Linked DNA regions of Coturnix japonica. Each later gene encodes a partner of the first gene's protein in a complex. Links are inferred from orthologs where the notes say so. Each region holds a gene or a part of one and is shown in the gene's direction. Other genes may lie near its edges.

Region 1 (4,022 bases):
GTAAAGATGCTGCATCTGTACATCGTAGGGATACAGCTTGAATCTCCCCGTTTCTGTGTGAATGGGAAGTAATATAGAACAAGGTGATTTCTGCAGGAAGCCATTCTGGATGTAGCTGTTTCTGTAATCCATAACATGATACAGCTGTGCAATGTATGTACCTGGAACCATGCCATAATCTGTTTTTCATGGTTCCGTGGTTTTAAATGCGATTCTAACAAATGCTTTTATTTTGTATGCGCACACAAGTCTAAATTTCTACTTGTATCTTTGCTATTAAAACTGTAACTCACAGATTTTTCTTGGAAAATGCAGAATTGGATTAGAAAGAAATTCCTAATCCAGCAGTTAATGTTACTGTAGGCAAGGCTGTACTTTCCCTCTCATTAGTTGATCAAGTATTTTTAATTTAAACCAATCAGTTTACTGTGCTTGTTACTTCCTTGAGGAAGCTGTTACAGAATGCCAGTCCTATGGCACAAGAATTTTACAAGTATTGCTGACTGGTTAATATCGAGCTATGATTTTGCAAGTGTTGTTCTTTATCTTAAATATCTTTTTCTCTTAGGGAGTGTTTAAATGACCTGAACTTTTCCAGAGGGGTCAAACCTTTTCATGTGCTGCTTTTGAGTGCTAAATAAGACACTTGTGTAATCTCCTGCGCAAAAATGTCCTTTTATTTTCACTTTTCATACACATGTTAATGGTACTGTAGTAGTTATTGTTCCATGAGCTACATTTTATTTTAGTTAATATATCACAAACACTTCTGAGACAGTGGCTGTGGATACATGAAGGGAATTTCTAAGATTGCTGTGTTCTGGGATCATACGTGTGTTGTCTCATAGCTCCTTCATTTGGTGACAAATTGAGACATCAACATGCTGTAATTTTCTTTCTCTTACATATTAATTTGCTGCTCTTGCTTTCCAAGTTTCCTCTAGTCCTGGAATTCTGTTCTCTTTTCCCTTTGAGGCTGGAATTATTTCTCTTTAGCATTCTAATTTTTCTTTGGGTTACAGTGTTGATGCAGTACTTACTGTGTGGTGAGAACCAGCACAGTGTGCAGTACATAATATTTACATGTGATGTAAATGCCTACATGATTTGGTGTATTATATAAGTTTGCTGCTTTGATATACTGAGTTATTTTGTTGTTTGTTTTTCTCGTGTAGCCGGTTGCTGAACCAATTCCAATCTGCAGTTTCTGCCTTGGTACAAAAGAGCAAAATCGGGAGAAGAAACCTGAAGAGCTTATCTCTTGCGCTGACTGTGGCAATAGCGGTAGGTGACCACTTACAATGCTGCTGGTAATAACCCAGTCACCTGTGGTAGAAAAGTTTAGTGTAGTGACTGACACTGATCCATGCGTACTGGGAGTATGCATCTGTGACATGATATGGTTAGTTGAACTGACACTTAAGTTAACCTAACAAGCAGTTACTTTACTCCCTGGAAGTTTCTGGAAAAAATCTAGTAGTGATGACTAGCATAACTTAATTAAGTTATGAAAAAATATCTTGGTGTGCTTTTGAACATGGCCCTGCCATTTACTTTCTAGGTGCTATGTATAAGTGGATAAGAGTCAGTGCATCTATAAACAGGAGCATCTGAATAATCATATTTCTTCATGGAAATATGTGATTAACAAAGTGAATGCTCTGTGTGCTATCTGTGATCATTAGAAGCAGTAGAGTGGTTTTACTGGTGTTATGTTCTCTATTTCCTGCAGGTCATCCTTCTTGTTTGAAGTTCTCACCAGAGCTGACAGTTCGAGTCAAAGCCTTGCGATGGCAATGTATTGAGTGCAAAACCTGCAGTTCCTGTCGAGATCAGGGCAAAAATGCTGTGAGTACAGTAGAGTATGGTCTGATTTAGTATGACATCAGCCTTGCGAATGTTCTGTTAAAATATAAAATAAAACAATTCTGGAGTTAAGTATTTGCAGCTTCTGTTTTGTAGGCTTTCTGACACCTGTCAAATACAGTGTCAGTAGTGTGAGAAATACATGTGTATTCTCCCAGATGGTGACAAATTAATGGAGGGATTGATGCACATCAAAAAGAGATTAAGTTTATCTGTCTTCAACAGGATAACATGCTATTTTGCGACTCCTGTGATAGAGGGTTCCACATGGAGTGCTGTGATCCACCACTTTCCCGAATGCCAAAAGGTGAGGAGTTTGTGATGAAAGGCTTAATTTAATGTGGTGTAAGAAGAGATCAGTGGCTAGAAAGTGCTTCAACACGCTTTGTTCTCTTTTATTTACTTCTAACTTGCTCTTTACGTTATTGCTTTTCAGGTGTTAAAAACTAAAGTTTTCTTTGGGAAGGGTCAGAGATTTTCCTCTGTCTGTTTCTGCTTCCTATAAATTATTTTCTGTGAAGAATTTTGAAAAACAAAGACTTCAAAAACTGAGGGAATAAAATTGATCCATGCAGATTAAAGTGGTCAGCTTTGATTTGAATGAATAGCTTTGTACATCAGAAAGAGGTTGGCTTGTACATTTTTGAAACAGTATTTGAGGGAGTGGGAATTAACCAAATATGAATTTAGATTGCTGGTTTATGCTTAACTTTTCGTACATGTGTATCTGTGGAGAGGACTTTGATCCTATTCTTACCCTTTCTTTTGGAAAGCCTGGGGCCTTTAGTTGTATCTTTATTCAATGTTGATGTTCCTTGCATTCAGTAGTGGTGACTGTGTGTTTTATAGGTATGTGGATATGTCAAATATGTCGGCCACGTAAGAAAGGAAGAAAACTTTTACACAAGAAGGCAGCACAGATAAAACGACGCTATGCTAATCCAATAGGACGTCCCAAAAACAGGTTAAAGAATCAAAATGCAACGTAAGTTTCTCTATAAAGAGGAATGAGGTGTGTGATTCTGTAGGACAATGAGCATTTCTGAAGTGTCAAGTCTGCTTTCTGTGAGATTTTTTTTTTTTTACAATGAAAAGTTTTTCATTTTTCTTTAATACAAAATTTCTGAAGGGTTCTGTGAAAGAATGAAGTAATCTCACAGTTTATTTGTGCCCTGATTTTTTTCATTATTATTCTTTGTAATAGCTCTACATTATGTTACAAACTGTTCCTTCTAGTCATTCATTTATTTTGCTGTTTTTGTCAGATCTGTTATTCTGAATGTCTGCTTCTTCTGATAGAATCGCTTTGCTTTGCATTGTTTCTGATGCTTAGAGAGACATAAATTGAAAAATGTTAATTGAAACTTTGTGTATTCATTCTGTCTACCATCTCCTGTAATCTCATTTATTAAATTCAGTGAATATCTGTTATTTATACTTAGACAAACTTTTCAATGTGCAGCACCAAGGTGTTTAGAATTAGCTCACGTTTAACTTCTGTGTGATACATAAATAAGTAGGGAAGACACTAATCCACTCTGCAAGCCACACCAAACCACTTTACCAGCTCTTACCATATGTTTCCCTTTCTGTTTCTTTAGATCAAAAGCACCCTTCAGCAAAGTTCGAACTGGCCCTGGTCGGGGTAGGAAGCGTAAGATAACTCTGTCCAGCCAGTCAGCATCATCAGAAGGAGGATACCTGGAGCAGACAGAAGTGTTGGACTACTGCAGAGATGGCAGTGCTACCTTGAAGTTTAACAAGAAAACCAAAGGGCTTATAGATGGCCTTACTAAATTCTTCACTCCCTCCCCTGACGGACGAAAAGCTCGAGGGGAAGTGGTAGACTATTCTCAGCAGTATAGGATAAGGAAAAAGGGTACCAGAAAATCTAGCACTTCAGAGTGGCCCACAGGTAAAGATTTTTCACTCTGCCACTGCAGGTATTTTGTACTCCAGAAAAAATGTTCACAAAGGCTAGGATGCTGAAATGATGAGAGTTGTTGGAGGCTGGAAAGTTACTCAAATGCAGCTATCTTTGGTGCACTGTGAGAGCTGGAAAAGGGAAGAAGAGACCTTTGCCACTTTATGATGGCAAGATGTGATTTAGGGACTGAATGATTACTATCAGGTAAAATGCCCTTTTGGTGATAAGG
Region 2 (4,727 bases), on another chromosome or scaffold:
TTTGCAGACCCCAGGCATTACTGGGCCACAGACAGTAAAGCTGCTTCTCAGAAGAGCTGAACCATTTCAGAGCAAACTCGTGGGATAGAATTAAATGTAGCTCCAGCAGCTTTGTGCATTACAGCCCCATTTTTTGTTCAGTTGTGCTCTTTAGGAACCTGTCCCTCTGTTCCTGGCATAAAACCCAGTGAAACTGGATTATAGGGTGTTTCTGGAAAGCCTTGAGCGCATTGGTGACAGCAAGATGACAACTCTTTGAACTTTCTGCTTTTATATCAACAACATTTGTCCATGGTAGGACAAAAGCAGCATAGGCCGAAGGAATATTTAACCCTGCTGAAGTCAAGGCAGTTTAGCATTTCAGCATGCACAGATGCTGTTCACACAGGGATAATGTTTTATATGTGGCTGGTGAAGTGTTGTCAAGTGTACTGAGAAGATGGTAACATTCCTAGATTACTTAGAAGTTGCTGTGTTGCAGGCAAGGTCACAGTGTTCCATCTTGGCATGGCTGAGTTTGTTTCATTTCTGCTTTCAAAGCTTTTCGGAGGTGGGTGATTGTATCTCTCCTATTATCCAGATGCCTTTTAGAAATGAGCTGGAATTCTTATCCCAGGCGCTGAGTGTTGGCTGGCAGCAATTTCAGTGCCGTTTTAGATGCTTCTATGTAGTGTTAAGTAATTGTGTGTTTTACAAATGGGTTGGTTTATAGCAGCCAGTTGCTGTGGTAAAAAGCCCACTTGGGGTAATTTCTCCAGACAGTAAACCGACTGTTTCTCAAAAGCTACTACAATAACATCCTGTTCTTGTTTGTCATGTCAGCAGGTAAAATAACCCTTCCTTGGAGTGCTTGCTTGGCTGAAATTTTCTCATCATTCAGCACTGCCAGCCATCAGCTAAAGTCTTGTTTTTCTTGAACACAATATTAATAATGGCTGTGGTCAGGTCATTCTGATTGCTTTATCCTCCACAATAATTATGTTCATATAACGTCTTGCATCCAGTGTCTTCTTCAATTAAACCAGTCTGCCTTAGGTTGTACCTGAGCCATATGTCAGCAGGGTTTCCTTGGTTTTCCATTGGTTGACCAAGCTGATCAGGCAGACTCCTGGTTAACAGGGCAGTGCTTTCAGGAGAAGAGTGTTTTTCCAGAAATCCGTTACTCCGTTCTGGAATAACTTCATGAATTCTTGCAGGCACTGATCCACGAGGTGCTGCTTGCTTTGATTCACTTGAGGTTTTGTGAAGTTAAGTCCGTCATGGAGCAAAAAAATAACGTGACAGCTAAATTCAAATGCTTTGTTTGTCTGCAGGTCCTACAGAAAGGGGCTGAAAGTGCTGTACTCTAACTTAGGGTGAGTTGCTGGTTCAGGCCCCTGCATAGCAACAGATAAGCTCCAGGCTGACTTATCTTCTTGGGGAGATTTTACATTTGCTTTTCTTTTTCTCGTCTCCCTCTTTCTTTGGCCTGTTTTGTTCCTCTGCCTGGGCTCTGCACTCTTATCCCTGACTGCCCTTCTCCCTCGCATTACTCACTTGGCTTCCTCTCTACTTTCCCTCTTTTGCCCTCAGATCTTTGGGATCCTGCTGCTGCCTTTCCATTCTTCTCCAGCTCCTCTTGCCAGCTCATCTCCACCCCTCCTTGTTGGGCACCTCCTTAATGGCTGGAGCTGACTCTCAAATGATTATCTTTGTTGCTGATTAGCAGTTTGTGAGGGCAGAGCTGTCTTGGGCTTTTAGTTAAGGCTCTGTTTGAGCACCATTGCATAGTTCACAGTACAGCTTGGTCTAGACAGTGTCCTGCTGCTTTCCTACTTGTACCCCTGTGGATCTTGCAAGCGGAACCAGCTCAGGGGCCTGTACATGGATCGTGGCTTCAGAAGAGCTGATGCTGAGACAGAACTTGTAAGTCCTTCTGGATCCATATTGCTCGTTCCCATACTTGTTCCATTTTACTTCTTTGTAGATCCTACCCAAGAGAAGAAGGGTTGCGCAGCTAGCACCCATTGTTCAGTTCATCCTCTGGTTCTTCATAGACTTTTGTAATCCATTTTGCATGATGTGGAGGACATGGGTTAGCTCAGTGCATGTTCTGTCTGCAGGATGGTGTGAGAAACCAGCTTGCAGGAGAAAGGAAGGCAAAACTGGTAGATAGTTTTTCACCATGAAACTCTTTCACTATGTGGGTGAAGGAAGAAGTGTTGCAGTGGGATGGGAGATGTGGGTGAACTTCCTTCTGAACCTCAGAGCAGTGCTGGTATACATTCTCACATAGAGCTCAGCTAAAAAAAAAAAAACACACAAAATGGTGGGCAGGGGGAACTGCTTTTGTGGGGCAGGAAGAGTGCTTTCCTTTAGGCCTGGAAAACCAGACCTAATATTCAGCACATTATGTATACTGCTGGGAACTTGCAGGCAAAAGAACAGAGAGAACTCCTTGGCCTGTGTGAACTAAGTACTGAACGGTTCAAGCGGGTTTATTAGTAATGTCTGCGTTTCTGAGGATCTGGATGGTTTGTTGGTCTGAGTGCACAGCAGAGCATTTAGATGCCATTCTCTAAAACCCATTTCAACTCTTCTCATCTGTTGGTATGGGAAACATTTCCTGGTTTGCAAGCAGAGAGATTTGGAGCGTGCTGTGCCTTGCTCAGATATGTACTACAGAAATGATTGATACATCCAGTACTTGCTTGTATTTAAGGTGAAGTAACCTCTGAGCCTGAAATTGCTGAGGCCCTTAGTTGAAATGTTTTTCTATTGTGATGCTGTGTGGGTTTTTCAATCTGTGCTGCTCCTGTTAGCTTGTCTCCTTTGCTCATGCTGGTCCCGGTTTGTTGCAGCGTCTCTGGTGCACCACAGCGATGAGGAAGCCTCGGAGGAGGTCACGGCAGAATCTGGAGGGCCGGCATTCTCCATCACCCTACAGCCTGAAGTGCTCACCCACTCGGGACATGCTGACGTACGCTCAGGCCCAGCGCATTGTGGAAGTAGACATAGATGGGCGGCTTCACCGCATTGGCATCTACGATCCCTTAAAAATCATCACAGAGGATGAACTGACTGCCCAGGACATCACAGAATGCAACAGCAATAAGGAAAACAGCGAGCAGCCCCTTTTCCCTTCAAAATCCAAGAAAGCACCTTCCAAAGGCAAGAAGAAGGAATCCTGCTCCAAACACACATCAGGAACATCTTTACACTTACCCCAGCCGAAGTTCCGTGTGGTGGACTCCCTGAAACAGCCAGAGGCCCCCCCTCTCCCTGCTGCCTACTACCGGTACATTGAGAAGCCTCCCGAGGACCTTGATGCAGAGGTGGAGTATGACATGGATGAGGAGGATCTGGCATGGCTGGAAATGGTGAATGAGAAGAGAAGGGATGATGGTTATGGGATTATTTCTGCTGAGACTTTTGAGCTGCTGGTGGACCGCTTGGAAAAGGAGTCGTACCTTGAGAGCCGAAACAACGGGACTCAGCAGTCTGTCATTGATGAGGATGCATTCTGCTGTGTTTGCATGGATGATGAGTGTCACAACAGCAACGTCATCTTGTTCTGTGATATGTGCAACCTGGCTGTGCACCAGGAGTGTTACGGGGTGCCCTATATTCCTGAGGGGCAGTGGCTTTGCCGCTGCTGCTTACAGTCCCCTTCTCGCCCTGTTGATTGTGTACTCTGCCCAAACAAAGGTGGAGCCTTCAAGCAGACCAGTGATGGCCGCTGGGCTCATGTGGTTTGTGCCATTTGGATTCCAGAGGTCTGCTTTGCAAACACTGTGTTCCTGGAGCCCATTGAAGGGATAAATAACATTCCCCCAGCTCGGTGGAAGCTCACATGCTATATCTGCAAGCAGAAGGGCATGGGAGCTGCTATCCAATGCCACAAAGTGAACTGTTATACTGCCTTCCATGTCACCTGTGCCCAGCGGGCTGGTCTCTTCATGAAGATTGAACCCATGAGGGAGACCAGCATCAATGGCACAACATTCACTGTGCGCAAGACTGCCTATTGCGAGAGCCATTCCCCACCTGGAACAGTGAAAAAAGGGCATTCAGCTGCTACCAGTGAGAGGCAGGAGGGCATTGTGAAGGAGGAGAGGGAGGAAGAAGGCAATTCTGGTCCTCCCCAAGCATCCCTAAAGAAGAACAAAGTGAAATTGAAGCAGAAGATCAAAAAGGAACCTAGTGAGGGGACTGATGGGCGTTCATCTATGCCCATGGTGGCAGTTGCACAAATTCCATCTTACAGGTGAGTGTTGGAGCTGGACAGCAGAAGATGAACAGGGTCTGTTCTATGGACTCGATCCCTTTCGTTGTTGAACTTGGAAGCACCCTCTTTAGCCCAGACCTAGCAGTAACTGTGTTCAGATTGTGCTCTGCAGGAACATTCCTCACCAACATTCTTCCATGTGCATGCCAGTTGTGCACTGGTTTCCCTGCTTTGCCAAGCAACAACCCCAAAATGTTATGTAGTACAGATCTTTCGTGGTACCTAACAGGCAAACATGCAGCTAGCATCCAAATTTACATAGATGGCTGTGAAGGTGTTTTTAAAATACATCAGGCATTACAGGTTGGCAGGTGAATGGGAGTCATCCTCCTGTTGATATATTTTTTTCAATCCCCTCATTACATAGCATCTTTATTGTTCCTTTTACTGCAGAACATGTTAAACATGTAAATGTTTCAAGCAGCTTAGAATCTGGCTGTACATTTTTTTTCTCCAAGCT

The links. Proteins that work in one complex are often made in the same cells at the same time.
Region 2: KAT6A (region 1) and BRPF3 share a complex: the UniProt entries of both Homo sapiens proteins name them as parts of the MOZ/MORF complex. The link is inferred for Coturnix japonica from reciprocal best matches to the Homo sapiens genes KAT6A and BRPF3.

The regions. Positions count from the first base shown.
Region 1 is NC_029537.1:4,049,772-4,053,793, reverse strand, and holds part of KAT6A (histone acetyltransferase KAT6A), read left to right. Parts: intron 1-1,175; coding exon 1,176-1,284; intron 1,285-1,732; coding exon 1,733-1,848; intron 1,849-2,091; coding exon 2,092-2,173; intron 2,174-2,715; coding exon 2,716-2,851; intron 2,852-3,467; coding exon 3,468-3,781; intron 3,782-4,022. UniProt on the Homo sapiens protein: Histone acetyltransferase that acetylates lysine residues in histone H3 and histone H4 (in vitro). Component of the MOZ/MORF complex which has a histone H3 acetyltransferase activity. May act as a transcriptional coactivator for RUNX1 and RUNX2.
Region 2 is NC_029541.1:568,444-573,170, forward strand, and holds the start of BRPF3 (bromodomain and PHD finger-containing protein 3), read left to right. Parts: upstream 1-1,745; 5' UTR 1,746-1,863; coding exon 1,864-1,905; intron 1,906-2,840; coding exon 2,841-4,246; intron 4,247-4,727. UniProt on the Homo sapiens protein: Scaffold subunit of various histone acetyltransferase (HAT) complexes, such as the MOZ/MORF and HBO1 complexes, which have a histone H3 acetyltransferase activity.